Notamacropus eugenii: one gene and its partner. The protein of the gene in region 2 interacts with the protein of the main gene of each other region in a pairwise test. Links are inferred from orthologs where the notes say so. Each region holds a gene or a part of one and is shown on either strand. Other genes may lie near its edges. The genes, in order: serine protease inhibitor Kazal-type 7-like and RABL6.

Region 1 (11,262 bases), about 82 Mb from region 2:
GGAGCAAAGTAATGGTGCAACTTTCTAAAGGTCAAAAATTCACAGAAGAACTAATGCTAGAAGAATATAGGCCTCCTAGAGGCAGTTTGGCAGAGGAATCAATGGATGACCTCATGAAGCCTTCTTAGCTTTAAATTTGTGATCCTATCATCCTCTGTGTTCTAAATACATATTATAAGGGAGAACTTTCTAAATATTAGAGAATTGCAACAATGAACTTCATGACAATAAAGAAAGCCCCAAGTCATTGGAGGTTTTCAAGTAGAGATTGGATAATCACTTGCCAGAGATGTGAAAGAGAGGATTTGTGCTTCAGGTAGGGGTTGAACTAGATAACAGTATAAGAATAATCAGAACAATCATAGAATCATATGCTTAGAACTGGATGGAACCTAATCTCATTTTACAGATGAGAAAACTGAGGCCCACTGTTATTAAATGATGTTCCCAGAGTGACACAACTACTAAATGTCTGAGGGCAGAATCTGAACGAGTCTTTTGAACTGAAGGTCATGCTCTCTACCCACTATAGCATGCTGCCACATTTAATGGGAGTTACATTTCACAACATATTTCCCTTACAACAACACTGTGAAGCAAGCTATGATTAATATATTGTTCCTCTGGTGAAAATAATGTAGTAAACAACTTCAGGGGAATAAAAGGGGTTTTCTCAAGGTCACTTGGCCTGTAAATGGAAGAGCTGGGACTTCAATACAGAAGAGCTAACATTTTCAGAAAGAAGTCATTCTGACAAGGCAAATTCTAACTTCCCTGAAGAAAGTATTGACTGAGATAAACAACTGCAGAATTAAGAGATACCTGTTAGAACATGCCCTATTGAATGGACATCAGGATTTTCATAGTCTACATTAGGCTGAAATTAGAAACCAGCTGGAAATACCAAATAATGTCTATTACAGAGCATAAAAGTTCAGGTCTTGCCACTCAGAACCCATATAGGCTAGTTTCTAGAAAGGCAGGACCAGAAAGTTCCACTAGCCTGAGAATTCAGAGACATGGAATATAACCCTCTCTCAACTACAAAGTTATGGCATAATCACTACAAATCATTTTCTCTCTCCAAGTATCAATTTCTTCCTCTGTAAAGACAAAGCTTTAGCCTACTTCCAAAATATTTTTAAGGGTGAGGTCCTGGGTGTGCAGTGTCAGACATGTTCATGCAGCATAGTGAAAGGTGATGTAATGTTGGCAGGAAAAGCAATTTGCAAATTCATAAACCTATCCTGAATAAATTTATATGACATTTCTCACTGAAATACCTTTATAGCATGCAGTTGCCTTGAGCTATTTATTTTCCTTATGAGTATTTCAGATATGTCAATAATAATGATGCTAAATTCCATATGTCAGGGCTCTATTATTGCATCAGCTTGAGTATGGTCTCTACCAAAAGTCTCATTGATTCTACCCAGACCCATTGACATCTTAGAAGACCACCCTTATCCAATCCAATATCCAATCCAATTCATTTTACTAAGTATTTATTAAGCATGCAATCTATGTCAGGCATTCTGTTAGGCACTGATGGTACAAATACAAAAACTATCCCAGATGGAAGGAATTTACATTCCCATTAGGGTATGACACTCAGAACTAAACACAGCATTCTAGATGTGGTCTGATGAAGACAGAGGATAGCAGGACTATCATGCCTCTGCCCCCTTTCTGTATCCTTTACGTCTATTAATGTAGGCTGAGAACCTGATAAGTTTTTTGGTTTCCATGCCACACTATTATCTCATAATGAACTTATAGTCCAATGAAATTACCATATTTTTCACATAAACAGCTTCATCATATTTCCCCTAACCTCTAGTTGAGCAGGTGATCTTTAGAAATTAAATGCAGGATTTGCATCAATGCCAATAAAGACTCACCCATTACTCTTATTTGGTGAGGTTGGAGAAGGAGATTTGACACTATTATTCATTTAATATCTATCTTCTTCTCCACCAGCATCTGTAGATTTAATATCATCATTTTTACCTGGATCCAAGGCATTAATTATAATGTTGAACATGATTAAAGATAATTCCATAGAGTTACCTTTTTTGAGACCTCTTTCTGGGTTTAAGATGATCTATTAATGACTGAATTCCTTTAGTCCAATCATTTAAGCCAGTATAATCCTCATATCTACAGTCCATCCATGAAGATAGCATGAGACATATTAACTTTGTTAATGCTCTGCTAAATTCCAAGTACTATGACTATGGCATCCTCTTTATCTTCCAATCTAATATTCCCATCAAAAAAAGAAGAAAAGGTACATGAAATTTTAAAATGCAAATTAAAATATTTCTAAGGTTTTACCTCATAACTATCAAATGGCTGAAGATAACCAAAAATAAAAGTCAATGCTGGAGAGATTGTTTGATGAAGCTGTGAATAGTCTAACTTTTCTTGATAACAGTTTGAAGTTATGCAAAAAAAGTGAGTAAACGACTTCAAACCCTTTGAGTCACCAATCCTATGACTAAGCACATCTTCCAAGGAACTGAAAGATAGAAACAAAAAAGCCAATGTATACCAAAATAATCTTAGTGGTATGTTTTATGATAGCAAAGCACTGTAGACAAAATAAGCGCCCATCAGGTGGAGAATGACTAAAAAAAATGTCATGTGAATGAATGTACAGCAACATCATTGTGCAGTAACAAATGACCAAGATAAGGAATGTAGATAAACATGGGAACATCTGTATGAACTGATCCAGAGGAAAAGGAGCAAAAACCAGAAGATCAATGTGTACATTGATAACAACAATGTAAATTTAAAGATCACTAAAAGGAAATCAAACTGAATAATTGGAAAAACCTGCAATGATCCCAGGGGGAAATAATGAAACTCTTTTCTGTCCACTTTTAGGAGAATGTAGGAACTAAAACCCAAACATTGTGGACATTTCCAAGGGTACAACTGTATCAGTTGTTCTTACTTAATTGTTTTTCTTTTGTTACAAAAAAAGGTTTAATTCTAGGCTGTCAGGTAGTAAAGAGGGTGATACTCAGATATGTTCCTGAAATGGAACTAATCTGGGACAATCTGTCTTGATTATGAGGGATCATCCTCTCTCTCTCAATTCACCACCCCCTTAATATGTCCTAGAGCTTTCCCAATCAACATCAAGCTCGTTGGACTATAATTTAAAGACTTCATTCATAAATACTGGGACAACATTTGTCCAGACTTAGTCTTGTAGCATCTTTCCCATTCTCCACAATTTTACAATCACCTCTGGAAGTTTAGCAATCAATTCTGTCAGCGCCTTCAGGATCTTAAGGATGTAGTTATTGTGAGGATAAAATGGCAATACACATTTAAGGTATTTTGTAAACCTTAAAGCACTATGCAAATAAATATTACTGCTATTTGTTGGTTTTTCTGAGACTGCTCTTTCTTGTAGTACGTTAAAGGGTTGGCTCTGTAGTCAGAAAGATCTGGGTTCAAATTTGGATTCAGGTGATTCCTAGCAGTGTGATCCTGAGCAAATCATTTAACTTCCATTTCCTCAGTTTCCTTATCTGTAAAATCAGGATAATAATAACATCTACTTCCCAGGGTTATTGTGAAGATCAAATGAAAGCTCAAAAGAGCTTAGTACAGTGCCTGCCACATAATATGCACTATATAAATATATTATTATTATCATCTTCTCCTCCCCATCCACCTGTTTCTCCTTGATATCTTTTGCTGGATCATCATTCATATTCCATCCCCTAATTAGAAGCAGCTAGGTGACACAGTGGATAGAGAGTAGCGGACCTAGAGTCCAGAAGACTTGGGTTGAAATCCAACCTCAGACACTTCTCAGCTGTCATTTAACCTCTCTCTGTCTTAGTTTCCTCACAGTAAAATGAAGATCGTACTTCCCAAGTACCTCCCAGGGTTGCTGTGAGGATCAAATGAGATGATATTTATAAAGCTCCTAGAATGGTGCCTAGCACAAGTAGATGTTTAATAAGTGCCTGCTCCCTTTCAGTTCCCTCTAAATCCAGACAGCTCCTTTTTGTCCTCCTTATTCATATTATTTCTCTTTAAATCTTCAGAACTCATTTTTAAGAGCTTCCCATGCCTCCTAATATGACCTTCTCTGTAAGTATACCCCAAAACTCTTTGGAATCAACTCTTTCGAAATTCAGGGCACATGTCAATCTTTACCTAGCTTTTCTCTCTTCTAGCACAAAATCGAAGACAGAAAGGTCATTTTCCCATAAGTTTCCCAACATCTCTACTTCTGTCTCTAGTTCTTCCTAGTTGGTAAGAATCAGATGCAGACTAGCAATTCCCTTAGTTATTTCCTCTACCTTTTGAAAGATGAACTTATTACTATAAAGCAAATCCTGGAAAAGGTAACTACTCTACTTCTTATATAAATATTGCTCTAGCAAATATCAAGATATTGAAATTTCCTGTCGCTAATATATCCTAACTCTGCACCAAGCTTATGATTACTTTCCCAAACTTTTCATATTTCCACTTTCTGATTAGTCCAGGAGGACTATATCCTGCTGGCAGTCTGGTGGAGCCTTTGCATGCTTTCTCAGAAAAATACTTTTAAATAAGCAAATGAAAGCTAGATTTTGGTTAGAATGTAAAGATGTCATTTTTCTGCATCCAAGTTCGCAGACAACCTGATACCTGCCCATAATCCAGAGAACCCAGGTTGCCATTGCTCTGGTAGTTCTTACAGCCAACCTTCCAGGACAAAAGCAAAGTGTTGGTGGGAATCCTGAACTATAGTAGTAGGTGCCTCTCTTCTTTACTTTATGAATACCTTTTCAGGTATATCTAATTTCCCTCCTCTTGTCTCAACTATGTCATTCTTCCATTCCAGTTTTTCTCCTTGATTGCTTCTTGTCTTTCTCCTTGAGTCCTTCTCCTCTTTCTGCTCAAGTCCTCATGCTGCACTTACTAAATCTTCTCCTGTAGAAGGGACAAGCAAGAGTACAATATTCCTATTCTAGGTGAACTTTGCACAAGTTTGCAGATGATAGGTCAAAATCATTTCGGAGCAAGCTAACTTCTCCTATGCTCACTGAAGCTGACCCTTGCCTATATAATATGTTCCCTAGAAAAGCAGTGTGATGTACTAGAAAGTGCCCTGGACAGAAGAGTTGAGTGGAATCCAGGTTCTGTCACTTCCTAGTTGTGAGACTATGGGGAGTCACTGAATATCTATGAACCTCTCCTCCTCTATTAAAAGGGGATAATGGTATTCTCTTCCTCCTTCCTAGATATAGTGAGGAACATTTATCATTAGCACTAGAAGGAACCAATGTTGTTTACACTTTTCATTTCATCGATGAAGAAATTGAAGCCATGGTCACACAATTAGTAATTCTGATAGCTGGCATCTCAGATCCAAGTCTCTATTCATATGTTCAGTGCTTTAATGCTAAAAGGCATTAAAAATGTCATTATTACTAATGTACCATAAATTAAAATTTGCTGTGGATATCAAGTCAATTTCAGAGTCAGGAAGACTTGGCTAGAAGTCTTCCCTCTAATACCTACTGACTGCGTGACTCTGAGTAAGTCACCTAATCTCTGAAGACTCCAGCCCATTCTCTGAATTTAAGCGCAAAGTAGTTATTGGTCTGCCTTGGTAGAGGGAGGAAGTTTCACTGGAGAACTATGAGAGAACTCATTGGAATTTCCTATTTCAACAAAATCAAAAGTTCCAAATGAAAAAAAGAACTGTGAAATCATAAGTATTACATGACATGATCTTCACTTCCAGAAGCATCAATGGATTATTTGTTACATCAAATAAAGTTAATAATCCAGTTGTCTGACTGGTTGAACTTAACAATTAGTTGGCAAGTGTTACTCCACCCAGGGTGTACCAACAGCTTGTGAATACTGTCTCTATAAGATTACAATATATAGGTGGGGGACACCTCTGCGGTCATATAAAAGTCATCCCACTCTTGGGGACTAATCCACTACTCTCTGTGGAAGAGTCCCTTGCCAGTGATTCCAACTCTCCCAATAAGACCATGAAGATCAATGGGGGCTTTCTACTGCTGTTTGCCCTGGCTCATCTCTGCCTAGCCTCTCGTAAGTAAAATAGAATTTCTTCTCAGAAAGTGTCCTAACCCTGGGATTTCCCCAACTTGTCTCAACAGGATGAGTTTTCCTGACAGGGACAAAATGGAGTACTGGTCTGAAAATTAGGAAATTTGATTTCAGGGCTTTGTAATTTCCTTTCAGTGACGTTGTCTCCCAGACAGTAAAATGAAGATAATAATACTTGTCCTGCTTCCCTCATGGTGCTATTTTGAGGATCAGATGAAGTAATATATGGGATGTGATAATAAAGGCTTACATAGAACCATGCATTACTGCTATTCCTAGAATTAACTGGCTATATTGATTTAGACATACAATATGACACTGTGGAGAAAATTCTTGCCTACAAGTCAACAGACCTGAGTTCTGAAAAGTTGGAACTCTGTCACTGATTTACTCAGTGACCTTGAACTTCTCTGGGTCCTAGTTTTTATATATGTAGAAAGAACATGTTCTAAGGTTCTCTCCAGCTCTAAAGTTCCAACTCATCTATTAAGTGAAGTTAGATTAATAAACTCTAAGATTCCCACTAGGTCAAATGACCTGGGTTTTTATTTCTAGCTAGGCAATTAGGTGGTACAGTGGATAGCTTGCTGGGCCTGGATTAAAGAAGACCTGAGTTCAAATCTGGCATCAGACTCACATAGTACTGTGTGACTCTGGGCAAGTCACCCAAACTATGCTTGCCTCAGTTTCTTCAACTACAAAATGAGGATAATAACAGTGGAGCATTTACATCACAGGGTTATTTTGAGGATCAAATGAGATAATATTTGTAAAACGCTTATTACAGTGCCTGACATATAGTTGGTGCTAAATAATTGCTTATCCCCTTCTCCTCTTCCCCTTAAAGTTTTCAAAGTGCTTTTCTAAATTATTTGTAAGGTAAATAGTGAATGTAGTTCCATTTTATAGATGAATAAAAGAGGTTTAGAGGTCAAATAATCAAGTGTCTTACCCATTTACCTAGAGGCAGATAGGTAATGCAATAGACAGAGCCCTGGAACAGGAGTCAGAAAGACATGAGTTTAAGTCCAGCCTCAGATACTTACTAACTGAATGTCTCTAGCCAAGTCATTTAACTTCAGTCTGCCTCAATTTCTTCAACTATAAAATGGAGAAAATAATAGCACCCAAACTCCAGGGTTGCTGCAAGGATTAAATGAGATAATATTTTCAAAGTACTTAATACAATGTCTAGTATATAATATATAGTTAATAAATGCTTGTTTCCTTCCATCCTTCCAATGCCACAGAACTAGTAAGTATGAAAACTCAGTGCCTAGCTCAGGTCTCTTTATTCCAAGTCAAGTGTTCTTCCCATGACATTTATGTGGATAGATAACAGAGAAAAGAAGAAGTTTGCTGACTGACTGAGATTGAACAAGAGTGGTCCAGGATACCAGCCTCACACTAAATTGTAGACCAACAATGATAGTTCAGAAGTAAAGAATTTTCACAGCCTAAACCCAGCCTTGGTCACTGAGTTGAGGGAGGAGTACAGTGATGAGTCACCTGAACTTCTATCTCTATTTCTATTTCAGGACTTCCTGTACAGAATTTAGGGAAGGTAAGCAGATTGTTTTCATTTCCTTCTTATTTTTATTGCCATCCATCCATTAGGAAAGAATTCAATGAGCGTAGAACCCTATGTTACATTATGGAGATCAAAAAGATCAAGAGTGGCCTCATTTTGGTAGACTTGGAGTCAGAGGATTTGGGTTTGAGTTCTAGGTCCATCATTAGCTGTGTGACTTGTCATTCTCAGAAACTTGGTTTTCTCATCTATAAAATGAGAACGACAGTCTCACAAAGCCATTTTATAGAAAGTTCTCTGTAAAATACGAGTTATTACATGCAGTGATTTCTCATTGAAAGAGCAACTACCCTTGAGACTAGGAGATCTATGCTCAAATTTTGGTTCTAATACCTATTAGCTATGTGACTGAGAGCAAGTAGCTTCTACTCCTTGGAAATTTAGTTTCCTCACTTGTAGAATGTCAAGATAGGATTTGATTGCAAGGGTCACTTCTAGGTGTATGGACAGGAGAGATGAAAAGTGGAGCTGGAAGTAGGGAAGTAACTTTCCTACCTCACCATCCCTATAGAAAATTCCTTGAAGAGTGAAACCCTCTCCTAATTACATAAATGACCTATGGAATACTAGGAAATCTGGTGAATAGATAGATGAGGATTTTCTAGAATACACTGTTCTTGAAAAAGCAAGAGCTAGAGGCTCAACTTCTGCCTTGTCTGTGGTCCACCTCTCCTCAGAAAGAGAAGGGTAAAATGGATTCATAAAATATCAAAGGACATAAAAAGTCCAACCTAGAAGGGACATTATAACATAAAACTTTAGACTTGTCATGAGCCTGAGAAACAAAACATGAAATATCTAACCTGGAACAGTCTTTATAACTAAGAGTGTTATTTATTCAAAGTGGAATGGATCTTGGGAGATTAGAAGTGAGAGGGTAGAAAGTAAGACAGAATAATAGAGTTGAAAAGGATCTCAGCAATTACCTAATCTAAACCATTCATTTTATATAGCTAAAAAAACCTGTTCCCTAAAAAAGGAAGTAATTAAACTGAGAGCTTCCAGTAAGTTGAGGATAGAGTCAAAATTTGAAAGCAGATTTCTAGACTTTAGGCCAGGATTCTTTTCCCTGAACCATAGTGACTTGCCTATCTTATAAGCTCATGAGGTCAAGAATTTTAAGTGCTCTCTCTGTCTCTCTCTCTCCCCTCCTCCTTCTCCTTCTCTTCATCCTCCTTGCTAGGAGGACTGTGGGATTTATAAGAAGTACCCAGTGTCAGCTATTCCCTGCCCTGTTACATATTTCCCCGTGTGTGGTTCTGACTACACAACTTACGGAAATGGATGCCATCTTTGCATAGAGAATTTGTAAGTATGGAAAGGGGATAAAGGAATGGCAGGGCGAGGGTTACTGCTTTATACATTCATAGCACTTCCTTTTCTGATTCAATTACCAGACTAACCTCTCATGAAAATGAGGCAGACATAAATACATTAGATAAATTCTTTCATGAAAGACTTGTAGATAAGCTGGAGATCTGTAGGTGGCATGAGAATACAATTTGATAGGTTCAGAACTACCTGAATTAAAGGCCTCCAGAGTGATGGATAGATATCCAAACAGAAGATCTCTAGGGAAGGGCCTTCTAGCTTTCTCCTTCATCTTGCAGTTTTCAACATATTTATCAGTGATTTAGCTAAGAGCAAAAATTACTACCTACAAAAATTTGCAAGTGACACACAGCTTAAAAGAATGGTTAACATATTCAACAAAGTTCAGATACAAAAGATCTCAAAAAGGGGTTAAATCTAATATGATGCCATTTTTAAAATATATACAGTCCTGCCCTCAGGTTCAAGAAATCACCTGTACAAATATAAGAAAGAGAAGGCATAAATGACTGTTAAGTAGTTTGTGTGGGAAAAACCTGGGAATCGTACTGGACTATAAGCTCAGCATGATTCAACAGTATGACACAAGGGGAAAGAAGACAGAAACAAAATAATTGTCCTTCTATGCAGAAGAGGAATTACTTTTTCTGCTTGATCCCAGAGGGCCACATAAGTATATGTATGAATGTATGTACATATATATGCATTTATATGTTGTATAAACAGACATATATATTACACACATATATACATATTCACACACACACACACACACACACACACACACACATATATATATATATATATATATATATATATATATATATATATATATATATATATATATATATATGTATACATACTCTTATACTCATTGTTTCTAGTTCTGCCCTCTAGGACCAAGCAGAAACAGTAATTCTTTTTCTGCACAGAGGACAACTATTTTATTTCTTCTTTTCTGCTGTACACATGTGTATATATATATATATATATATATATATATATATATATATATATATATATATATATATATATATATATGTGTGTGTGTGTGTGTGTGTGTGTGTGTGTGCGTGTGTGTGTCTATACGTATATAGACATATTATTATATATTACATATATATAATATATATAACTCTATAGACATTCATTATATATGTATATTATATATACATACACATACACACACTAACAATAAAGTTATTTTAAAATTGAATGGAATCTTGGGGGATAGCACTTTCCTCCTTAGTGGAAGTATTCAAGCAAAAAATTGATGACCAGTTCCCAAAGATTCTGATTCAGGTATAGGTTGCTCTGGATGACTTCTGAGACCCCTTCTGATTCTGATATCATGATTCTATGAGTAGTCCCTAATCTAGGAGTCGAAAGACTTGGTTTCTAGTTCTAGCCTTGCCACTTTGTAACTTTATACAGATCCCTTAGTATATATGGAACTGAGTTTCTCTCTAAGGTAGTTTGTACTAAGGGGCTACACTAAGTTGACCACTGCTCCCGATATTATGTGAATCTGTAACTCATAACGTTTATTACTCTTTCTCTGCCCTTAGGAAAACAAATGGAAAAGTGTCTTATCTTCATGATGGAAATTGCTAACTCTCCCCATGAACCAGAGTATAGGAAAATGGTCATTTCATTTTCATCACCATCTGAATCACTCTGGTCCCCTGTATGCCTTTGGATAGGCTGACATGTTCCAATCTAATTGCTATTTTCCTGGAGCACATATGGTATCCCTCCTGTCCTTCCATATCTGTCAAACATAACATTTAGTTTTCTTTCTCAATAAAAATAATAATGCTGAAAGTTGGGATTTAGTTGTGAAATCAGGGTTAACATAAAAATTCTCAGTCCAGCACCACCTGAGAAGCAGTGTTTCTCAGTGAACTTGTAATCAGAAAATATGGGTATGAGTCGTGGAACTTCTACTTACTAACAAGATGAGCCTCTTACCTCTGCTTATCTGGGTCTCAGTTTCTATATCTGTAGAATGGGAATGGGAATATGTATTCTACCCATCTTTTAGGGGTATTAGGAGGAAATCACTTTGTGATTTCTATAGTGTGAAACTGTAATGTGTTATAGAAAGGTCAGCAATCACTACATAAGCAAGAGAAATTAAATGAATAGAATCAGAATTCAAAGAGGACAGAAAGCATGCCATCATAATAATTTAGAAATAAGGGCTCAGATTGATTAAATCTCTGAGCAGAGAC
Region 2 (10,758 bases):
AAAAGTTCTGGTGATTGCTGGAAGGTCTGTTTTTAAGTGCTGTCATTTTATATGTTCAGCCAAGGTGAGGTGAGAAAGGAAATAAAACAATTCATTAAAAAAAGGCCTTTTTAAGCAAATCAGTATCAATTCGATAACTGATACTGTGCTATATTAAGACCTCAGCAAACCAATGTGGGTGATGTTTCTGATTACAAGAAATAGAAGGGGTGGCTGCAAGGATAGGCAGAGATTTCATAAAAGAGGTAATACTAACTTATTCCAAATCTTGGATCAGGCAATTGATATTCATTTTTTTCTTAATAGTAAAATAGTACATCTCAAACTAAAAAATGAAGCCAAATACTAGTACATGTCAGGTGGAGAAGAGTTACATGCAAAAATTCAGTTTTGGGAAGAAAACCTGTGATAAGATCAGCAATAAGAGAAATAGGAAAAGGTTATTAAAACCTAAATACAATTACCACCAGGATATATTTGGTTTGCCAGCAGGTTTGAAAAAATATATAAACAATACATTTCAACCTATTATTCTCTATATGAGATAAGATATTTCTTAATGAGAACAGATCATCCACCTGGCTCAGATCAGGTATAAATTGGTAGACCAGAACAAACAAAGGGTTTAGATCCTGAAGAAACCTTTATTCCTTTAACTTTACAGATATTACCTTCCTCTATACCTGAAATTTACTCTGATCCAAGCTTTTCTGAACCCTCAGATTTCTTCAAGACTCAACTGAGGTACTATATACTATACCTCCTAAGTTTTTCCTGATCTCTAGTGAGGCAGCTAGGTGGTGAAGTGGATGAGACCTGATTTCAAATACAGCTTCCGACATATAAAATTCAGACATCTGGGCTTACATGTCTTAAAGGCAGGAGGAGGTGTAAGATCAGAGGTCAACAGTTTTGTGCAGAGTAGATCTGAAAACCATCAGCATAGAGATAGTAATTAAATTCATGGGAAGGAGATGAGCTCACCCAAGTGAAGTAGTATAGAGAGAGAAGAGAAGAGGGCCCAGGACAGAACCCTAAACTACAAAAAAATGTCAATAAAAGCTGCCTCACTTTCTCTCTTCCCACTCTCTTAACCCATCCGTTAGTCTAGCTTTCCACTTATCATTCTACCAAAACTCCTATCAGGTAGCAACTGAACCAGATGATTTCTAAGGTGTCTGTAAGTTTTGAGACCTCATGAAGTAACAGATATTCTTCCTCTTTTTCTCCTTAACAAGTAAATTCGTAGTTCTCAGCCCACTCAGAATCAGTGGGCGACCTCCACGGAAAAACACACATTTCTGAGAGGGAACAGATTCAAGAATGATGCTCCAAATTTCCAAGAGATTAAAGAGTCATTTAAAAATATTTTTTAAAACACAGTGTCATATTAATGGTTGGTTACAGCTTAAAGGAAAATCAGGGGCTTAAACACAGATCCCACTAACTTATACGAACTATTTGCTAAGGTAGTTATTTGACTTCATTCCTCTACCTTGATGAATCTGAACATTTAGTGAGAGAAACAAATGAAAATAAATTACAGCTACAATATGGCCAGATTGAACTTTGTTTTTAAATTTGACAAAGCTTTTCTGTTCATCTTCTAAATATTCTATCCTACCACCAAGGCAAATTATTATGAAAACTGAAAGCTTTGTTTGAAACAGGCCTAGGAACCCCCTTCCAAAAATTTTTTTTACTAAAAGTGGAATGAAAAGAAACACTGTCAAAATACAACATAAAAGTTTTGAAATGTTGCCAATGTTTGTTGTCTTGATTTGCAATATAGCAAAATCAAATGTCAAATGAGAAAATTTACCTGAGGACAGAACAATGCCTAGGAGCCGTGGAGTTAATTTATATTATTTGAGTATGATGAAAATCTTAAATTCTCACTTTATTGTCTTCAAATGATCATTTCGTTCACAATGTGTAACAGATTATAAACAGTAACAGTATCCCTGTTTTCTGGAGTTTCACTAAACATAGCCCCACAGAATTGCTTCTTAAAAACAACAACATAAAAAAATTAAAGGAAGAATGAAAGGCACCACAGTCAGAGGCCCTGGGTTCAAATTCTGATGCACAACCTTTGAGACCTTGAGCAAGTCATCTCACCTCCTTGGGCCTGTTTGCTCATTCTGTAAAATGAGAAGGTTGTCCTCTAATTCCACTGAGGTCCTTTCTATCTATGATCTTAAAATTTTGTCAAAATTATTTTTTTCAAAATCCACACTTGAAAGTTAAGACTACAAAGAACATGCACATGACTCAATAATACTATAAATTATTATATAAGATGGTGCATTAATTTAAAATCACATTCATTATAAGTTAGTCTACTCTCTGGGAAGAATTCTAGAATTAAGTTCACCGTCAGAGTGACAGAACAAGAGGCTACTTTTTCAAATTACATAGTAATTTCTCAGGCAAAATATAGCCAATGCTATCCATAATATTGTATCAAAAATCCCATAAAAAGTTTTGGTGAGCTTAAGGCGCTTAGCAAAACTGCTGCCATGGCCTTTTCATCAATATATCACATGCAGAACGCACATAATGAGCTATGTTCTATCCAACACTATTTAGGATATGTAAGGGCAGCAAGAATAGAGTCAGTGCTCATATACTGCGGACTTCACAACTTCTGTATTCTCATCCACCTTTCCAAAGAAAATGATTACTCTGAGAGGCACATCTGGTTTGTATAATTTCAATCTGGTGATAATCATACAATTGTACAGCACAGAATCCCCTAGCATGACCATACAATCAAGTTTAAATAAAAATAAGACTAGAAAGACTCAAAGTTCCTGGAGGGAAAGAGCTATACCTCACCTGTATCTTGCAAACTTCCTTAGCACCTATGACACACAGAGAATACGGATTTTGAACTGTAAGGTACTCATGTAATTTAACCTCCTCACTTTAAAGATGAGGCACTGGGAGATGAAATTTCTTGTGCAAGTACACAAAAGGTAATTAACAGTAAGGGCAGGAGTGTGAAGCCATGCCCTCTGACTCCAAATCCTGCAATTTTCCACTGTTACTATGCCGCCTTGGGCATTCAATGGATAGTCATATAAATGAGTAGTCCAATAAAAATTGCTACTATACTTTTTTTTTTGAGAAAAAGGGCAACACTTTAGTTTTTAATACATCATATCAGTAATAGCTGTTATTCTTGGTCCTGGTTACTTATATTTGTGATAGTATGTCAGATCATCTCAAAAATAATATTTTAAGACTAATACTTAAAAAACAAAAGAAAAATTGAATCTGGTCACATTATCTATAAATATCAAATTCTCAGAAATCTGGGGGTAGGGGAGCAGTGACAGGCACAGAACAATGAATGGGCCCAAAAGCCAGAACTAATTCAGTCTGACCACTACTTTACTTTTCTTTAAACTTAGCACCATCGTTTGAAACTCATCCTGAAGAATATTACCAATGAAGGCTAACCCTTATTTTCTGTATTCCCAGCACACACTATAGTGCCTGGCTTAAGTGGGTGCTTAATAAATGCTTGTTGAATTAAACTGAATTTCTCCTTTTCCTTACTTCAGGGCCTTAAGTGAGTTTCAAAAAAGGCAGGGGTGTGTGTGTGTGTGGGGGGGGGGGGAGCCTAGGAGAAAGAAATTAAATCTGCTAGGACTCCTAAAACTCCGTAATCAGTCACTCAACAAACATTCATTAAGCGCTGCCAGCAACCTGGCTAAACCTTGGGGATACAAATCATAAACCAATGGGAAGACAACATACAAGTAACTGTGCAAACTATGTACAATGTAAATTGGAAATAATCAACAGAAGGAAGTCACTAGAATTAAGAGAAATAATTGGGATTTTATCTGGGACTTGAAGGAAGCCAGGAGGTAGGGATGAGAGGGGAAAGCTTTCTACACTGAGGGACAGCCAGTGAAAAATGCCTGGGATCTGGAGACGAGTGTCTCGTCCAAGGAAGTAGCCAGGAGGCCAGTGTCACAGCGTGTCGGCCTTGTAGAGGAGGTCCTGGGCTCCAGTTCTGATTTCACCCCCTCGCTGAGGGTGTGACCTTGGGCAGGTCACGTCATCTTCTCCTCAGCCTGCAGCATACTCCTTCGGTCGAGAAGCTGAACTGGTTTAAATCCCAGGAGACTTGAACCGAATGGGTTCTTCCTGCTTCAAGTCCTAGGAAACCTGGGATCCGGATGAGCTCATCTATCTATCCTTCCGGTCCAACTCTAAGTCCCATGATCCTTCCAGCATTGACTTGGTGCGATCCTGTCTAGCATTCCTAACCCCCAAACCCCCAATCTAGCTTCCTGCCCCTCCCCTCCCACGGGGCAAAAAGATCCAAGGCAGGATGCCCAGTTTCCCCCCTGAAGGGGAAGCAGAGGGTCCCCGTTAGCTCCCGACCCTACGAGGTACCCAATTCCCGGGGCAGGGTCTCAGCACTGACGGCCAAGTGCCTCGGGGACCCCCGAGGCTGACGAGAGTAGTGGGGGGCGCAGGGGCTCCGGGGCGACCCTCCCCCGGCCTCACTTACTGTTGTACTGCACTCCTTTGGCGAACCTCCTCTGCAGCGCCTGGTTCATGGACTGCAGCCCCGCGGGGATGTTCTTGTCCCGGCCGGGAGCCTGGTCCGACCCCACTAGCTTTTTGAGGGCGGAAAACATCTTCTTGCCCTTCCCAGCTCCGCGCCTCCCCCCTACAGCGGTCCTGGAGGATCCAGAGGGCCCTCCGGCGGGCTCAGGCAGGGAGGGGCAAGCTCCGGGCGGGGGCGACCATGCCCGGGGAAGGGGGACGGAGGGCGAGGCTGAGGGGCGGCTAGGGGAGGCCTCTCCCCGTCCCCCTCCCCCTGGGCAGAGCCCCAGCTGGCTCCCTCCTCAAGGCCGGGGGCGGAGGAGGCGAGGCGGTCAGGCAGGACTCTAGCTCTCCGCAGCTCGGCTCGAGACGGTCGCGGGCTAGCCCGCCTCGGCTTTCTCCCTGGCCTTACGCCGGGTCTCTAGGTGCCCTCACAGGACGTGGCACAGCTTCCGTGGCCTTCCGCACCGCCACCTGCCGCTCTCCTGCGTCGCCATCTTGGGACAGCTCGGGCGGAGGGGGAGGGGGGCGCTGAGAAGGGGGCCTCGTTCAGCGTCGCCTCAGCTACGGGGGCCCGTGGGGGACACGGCGGTGGGGGCGGAGCTAGTGCGGGAAGGCGCGAAGTCCCCGCCCCCTTCGCCGCTCCTACGGAGCTGTCGGGGGCGGGGCGGAGAGAAGGGGTGGGGCAGAGTGAAATTTGAATTCTGCTCTGGAGTCGCTCTACCTACCCACTGTTTCCAGAGACACCCCCGCTTCTCCAGACACCCCACTCACCTCCTCCTCAAACTGATGATAATGATGGCTAGGTATCGGCCTTAAGGCTGTACAAAATGTCATCTCATTGGATCCTTGTGACAACCCTGGGAGGTGGGTGCTTTTATTTTTTTCATTTTACAGATGAGGAAACTGAGGCAGAGATTTAAAATGACTTACCCAAGGGTTGGGGGCAGGGGAAGCAATGGGTGTCTCCCTGGAAGGTAATAATGGCAGATACTCAGGGTTTAAACCAGGCACATCTAGAGCAGGCTGCACTCTGCACCCCCAAGACCCCATCTCTCACCTCCAGGTTACAGTGTGCCAGGAGGCCATAGTGTTTCATGATGTTTAATTATATAAGAGTTGCTGTATTTGCATCTGGAGAATAAGTGTTAATAAGATGGCCTTTCACGGTTGTGACCAGTTTTGGATTTTTAAAAGCACTGAATGTTCTGCTGAGGACCATCCATCCACCCACTCCCTTATATTCAGTTGTGGTCCTAGGTTATTGTCTGTTCAACGTATAGTTCTGGACGGATGAATTAAATAGGCTGCCTATCTGTGACCAGACACAGCATAGTGTAGTGGAAGAAAGTTGGATTTAGAACCAAGATGACCTGGTTTCCAATATTAGCTCTTATACTCACTCATTTACAATGTAACTGGTAGTCAAATCATTTAAGCTCTTTGGACCTTAGTCTGCTGATCTATGAAATGGGGTTGGGGGGAAGTGGATGTTTGAATTAAATGATCTCATAGGTTTATAGATTTAAAGACAGAAGGGAGATGATCTCTAAATCTATAAGCCTACGTGTAATTCTAGATTTAGATTTAGAATTGGAAGGACCCTGAGAAGTTGAGATACGGAAAAAAGGTTCAGAAAATTTAAGTGACTTGCCCAAAGCAGGCAGTAAGTGGCAGAGTCCGAATTCAAACTCAAGTCATCTGATTCCAAATGTCCTTTTCTGGTATCAGAGGCCCCCTCCTCACATGAAGGCACATTTTGAGGAGCACCACTTATCTGATTTGTTTCAGTGGAAGCTGGGAAATTTTGTACCTAGCATTTTCCCAGGTTTGGCCATCAGACTAACAAGGCTTCAAAAAATAGAGCAGCTTTTTTGATAAACGGCTCAGAAAAGACAAATTTGAGTTCACCAAGACAGACAGCCAGCTGGCACAGTCTATAGTGTACTACACTTGGAGTTAGGAAGACCTAAGTTCAAATCCTGTCAGACATTTACTTAGTTATGGGACTCCAAGACACTTAAATGCTACCCATTCATTTTACAGGCCTATTCTTCTCTACCCAGGGAGGACATTTACTTATGGGGACAGACTTGTTTTGGTACCAACTACGAAACCCAGATTGTCATCTGGGCAATACACATTCTTTATCCACTTAGATTTTCCTGATTTAGTAGGGTAATTTCTCTCTCAGTAGTTGTTGATCTCATTGAGGAGATCCCATAGCGTTCAGTGGCAGAGAAGGGGAAAAATTGTGGAACTCAAAATCTTATGAAAGTGAATGTTGAAAACTAAAAATAAAATAAAAAAGAGAATAGGTTCCTTTCAATATTTTACCCTTTATAAAGTATTCTCCTCATTCATCTTGGGGATGTGACCACTGCAAGATGTGTTATCCTCACTTATAAAGTACAACTAAGACTCAAATTTTATATTTGATAGGGAGCTATTGGAGTTTATGAGTTAGGGTGGGGTTGGGGGGTGAGGGGAGGGGAGAAGTTAACAGAGTCAGACCTGGGCTTTAGGAAGATGACTTTGACAGCTGAGTAGAAGATGGACAGCAGTGGGGAGAGACTTGAGTTAGGGAGTCAAGGAGATTAGGCTGGATGCTATTGCAATAGTCCAGGAGTAATGTAATGAGGTAGGCATTAAAGTGACTAGCTAAGGTCTCTGATAAGAAGTGGCAGAACAGGGACCTGAACACAAGCAGTCTAATTTCAATGCTTTCTTACTCCAAGAGGTAACATAACCCTCATATATAATAAAGGAGGAAACTATTAAGACCCAGAGACACTTGTCCAAGGTCACTCTCAAAACTCCCCCTACCTCTCAACCCAGTTAGTTGCAAGTCTGTTGATTCTACCTTTGTAAAAGCTCCCTAGCATGCCCCCTTTTCTCCTCTGACCCTGCCACCACCCTTGATGAGAGCCCCTATCATATTGCTCTGAGACTACAATAGCATTCCGGTGGGACTCGTTGCCTCAAGTCTCAACCCACTCCAGTCCATCCTCTACTCACCTGTCAAGATGATCATCGAAAAGCACAGGTTTGACCATGTGAATCCCTACCCCACCCCCACTCACTCCACTCAACAGATTCAATGGCTCCCTGTCAAATAGAAATTCTGATAAAGCTCCAGATCTTGTACTTGACTTCTGCAACCCTTTGTACCATGTCTCCATCCTACATTCCTAGTTCTTCTTATTCCTTATTCCCCTCTATATTCTCTATGATCCATTGATACTGACTTTCTTTAGCTTGCACAGGGTGCTCTATTTCCTCACTGGGCATTTTTTGCAGGCTCCCTCCCATGTCTGAAATGCTCTCCCTTCTTACCTTCATTTCCTGGTGGCCTTGGCTTCCTTCTAGCCTCAGCTAAAAATCTCATCTTCTACAGCAATGTCTCCTCATCCCCCTTAACTGTAATGCCTTCTCTCTGTTGATTATCTCCAATTTATCCTATACATACCCTGTCTGTACATAATTGCTTATATGTCGTCTCACCCATTAGCCTGTGAGCTCAAGGGCAAGGACTGTCTTTTGCTTTTTTTGTGTGTGTCTCTAGCATTTAGCACAGGGCCAGGCAGATGATGTTTGACAGATTGATAACAAATGAGTTAGTGGCAGAGCCAGACAGACATCCTAGGTGTCCCAATTCCCACATCCAACTCTCTTTTTGCTTTCCTGTACTGCTTTCAACCTTCCTTTCTGTTAAGTGGAGCTGACAGCAGGTATTAGGGGTTGCTACCTTCACTCTCCTATGGTGATGATCCCACTTAAGTCCCATCTTCCCCTACCAAGGAGCTGTTGCATGGCCATGAATGGCTTGTGCTATATTCAGTTCTGGAAAAAATTTTATTTGTGTAATAAACTGAGCATGAAAGGAGGCAGTCCATTGTGAGCTGGAAAGTTGGACATGCAGGGCCTTGTGGGGTTAAGGAAAGGATCAAGACTAAAGAAGGAACCATTATTTCTTCTTTGGTTTCTTGATATTTCTGAGTTTACTTTCAATCAGATTTTCACTTTGCTTCTTGATCTCGTCCCGAGAAGGAACGTAGCTATGTTCCACATCAGGAAACTGGAAGGATTCTGGAAAAAGTATAAGGCAAGAGGACAGTGGAGGAGCTTCTGGACCCCACTGACCAGGAGGCTATCTGTGGACTGTTACATTCCCAGGGGGGTGGAGAGTCACAGGATTTGGCTACCATTCTTATTTCAGGGGAATGACTTACTAGTAACTCCCAAATTCACTATGTCCCATCTCCCTTTCCTACCCACCAGGCCTTAAGCCTACCATTATCTACAGTTAAGTAGCAAATCAAGGAGGAAATACCTCATAACTAAACCCAAGCTGCATGTTATTTAAATAAATCCCTCTGAGATACCCATAGCACATGTTCCAGTCCTTTTCCTTATGCCCTATACAAGTGCAAATTGTTATTTCTTAATTAGATGATTAAGGGTGTGTGTTTGGAGTGGAAGTGTGGCAGAAAGACTCATCTCTGATAATTCAGAGACTAAGAAAAGGTTGCCCAGGTTCTCAGAACATAGTCCACCATCATGTGTGAGGCAAAGCTGATGGACGATGTGCCAATCCAATTCTATCTTGCCCCATATACTACCAGCCTCCCCCCCCCCCCCACTTTGGGAATGCAGCTCTGAATGTCTGGGAATGTTCAGTTGAAGAGCTATATGGGGTATCTAGTACTCTACAGACTTTCACCAGTCCCATCAGGGACAATCACAAACCTTAGCTACTGATTTTCCCTAAGTTAAAAGCTAGAACTTCTAATTCCTGCTTCTTATCCCCATTGCCTAAAGTTTGTCTGTGAGGTTGGGGGAGTGGGAGGGTGGACTTGATGAAGGCAGGATCAGCAGCCTCAGACATCAGGATGAATGGGTTTTTCTACAGTTTTATCACCTAAGCCACTGTAACTCACCTCTCCCATCATCATCACCATCTTCAAAAGTAATCTTCACGTTATGTGTTTCACTTAGCGTTGATTCCTCTAGGAAGTCTCTCACTTTCTGGGAGTACTAAAAAGCAGAGGTGTAATAAGATGGACCCAGGGGAAAGAAGCAGGGGTAAAAGGCCGGGAAAGGGGGTACATAGAAGAACTTTTCTGCCTCTGCCCTCCCTCATTTACCTCTTCAAATATCTCCACATAGTTCTTAGTTCTTTCTATCAGATAGAGTAGCTTCTTCTCACAGTATTGTAGTTTACTGTAGGCATCTTTGGTATCAGCAGGACCAGGCATTCCTTTCTGAAGACAAACAAATGTCTCATTTCCTCTCAATTTCCTCCCTTGAGCCCCTTTCTGCAGGGAGTTTCCTTAGGGTCAGAATTTCAGACTGGAGGGAATGTTGGGTGATGGGTCTTAGGGTCTTTTTATACTCATCTGGGGAGGACGAGGTAGAAGGTAGGAGGTACCACTTCCTCAGAAACTAGGAGCTAGGTAGAGTTTAGGGGACAGGTTTTTGGGGGACTGAACTCTTAACAGCATCAGAAGAAGGGGAGCTATCAAGGAAGACAGAACTGAACTGGAGAAGCTTCAGAAAACAGTAGAGGGAGGGGTGGCTGGATGAGACTTGATTCAAAAGATTAGATTAGGCCTTTTAAACCTAGGAAGATAAAGGCTGAAAAGGCATATAACTGAAAGCTATAAAATCATAGCAGAAATGAGAGGAGTCCTGGTTATTCACCAGAACTAGATTCAAGGTATTTCCCCAACCCCACCCTCAACTTTGAAACTCCATTTTTTGGGGGGGAGAGGGAAGCAATCGAGGTTAAGTGACTTGCCTAGGGTCATACAGTCAGTAAGTGTCTGAGGTCACATTTGAACTCAGGTCCTCCTGATTTCAGGGCCCCCCCCTTCTGATTACTAGACCTGTAATTTTATCAGTGTAGAAAATTCCCAAGGAAGAACTTTTTCTACTGATACAGGTCAGCATCTTGATCACAACTTATTTTTCTTGAGAGTTGCCTAGGAGCACTAAAGTGGCTTATTGAGAATCATGCAGCTGGCATGTTCCAGAGAAAGCCTTGGACCCAGGGCTTCTTGGCTCTGTGTCCATTGTGCAATGCCTCCCTCCCCTCCCCCCTACCTTGAAGCAGATCATTTTAAGACAAATTACAGGCTGTCCTGCTTCACCTACTGGAGAATAAATATATGAAACATTCTCCAA

The links.
Region 1: the proteins of RABL6 (region 2) and serine protease inhibitor Kazal-type 7-like interact in binary tests that used the Homo sapiens proteins (3 or more experiments, as listed by UniProt). The link is inferred for Notamacropus eugenii from reciprocal best matches to the Homo sapiens genes RABL6 and SPINK7.

The regions. Positions count from the first base shown.
Region 1 is NC_092872.1:410,443,785-410,455,046, reverse strand, and holds the start of serine protease inhibitor Kazal-type 7-like, read left to right. Parts: upstream 1-5,952; 5' UTR 5,953-6,026; coding exon 6,027-6,087; intron 6,088-7,643; coding exon 7,644-7,669; intron 7,670-8,879; coding exon 8,880-9,004; intron 9,005-10,596; coding exon 10,597-10,642; 3' UTR 10,643-11,262. UniProt on the Homo sapiens protein: Probable serine protease inhibitor.
Region 2 is NC_092872.1:492,640,853-492,651,610, reverse strand, and holds the start of RABL6 (rab-like protein 6), read right to left. Parts: upstream 5,081-10,758; 5' UTR 4,665-5,080; coding exon 4,535-4,664; intron 1-4,534. Other genes in the region: CCDC183 (coiled-coil domain-containing protein 183), read right to left, coding at 8,540-8,661, 9,513-9,609, 9,720-9,836. UniProt on the Homo sapiens protein: May enhance cellular proliferation. May reduce growth inhibitory activity of CDKN2A.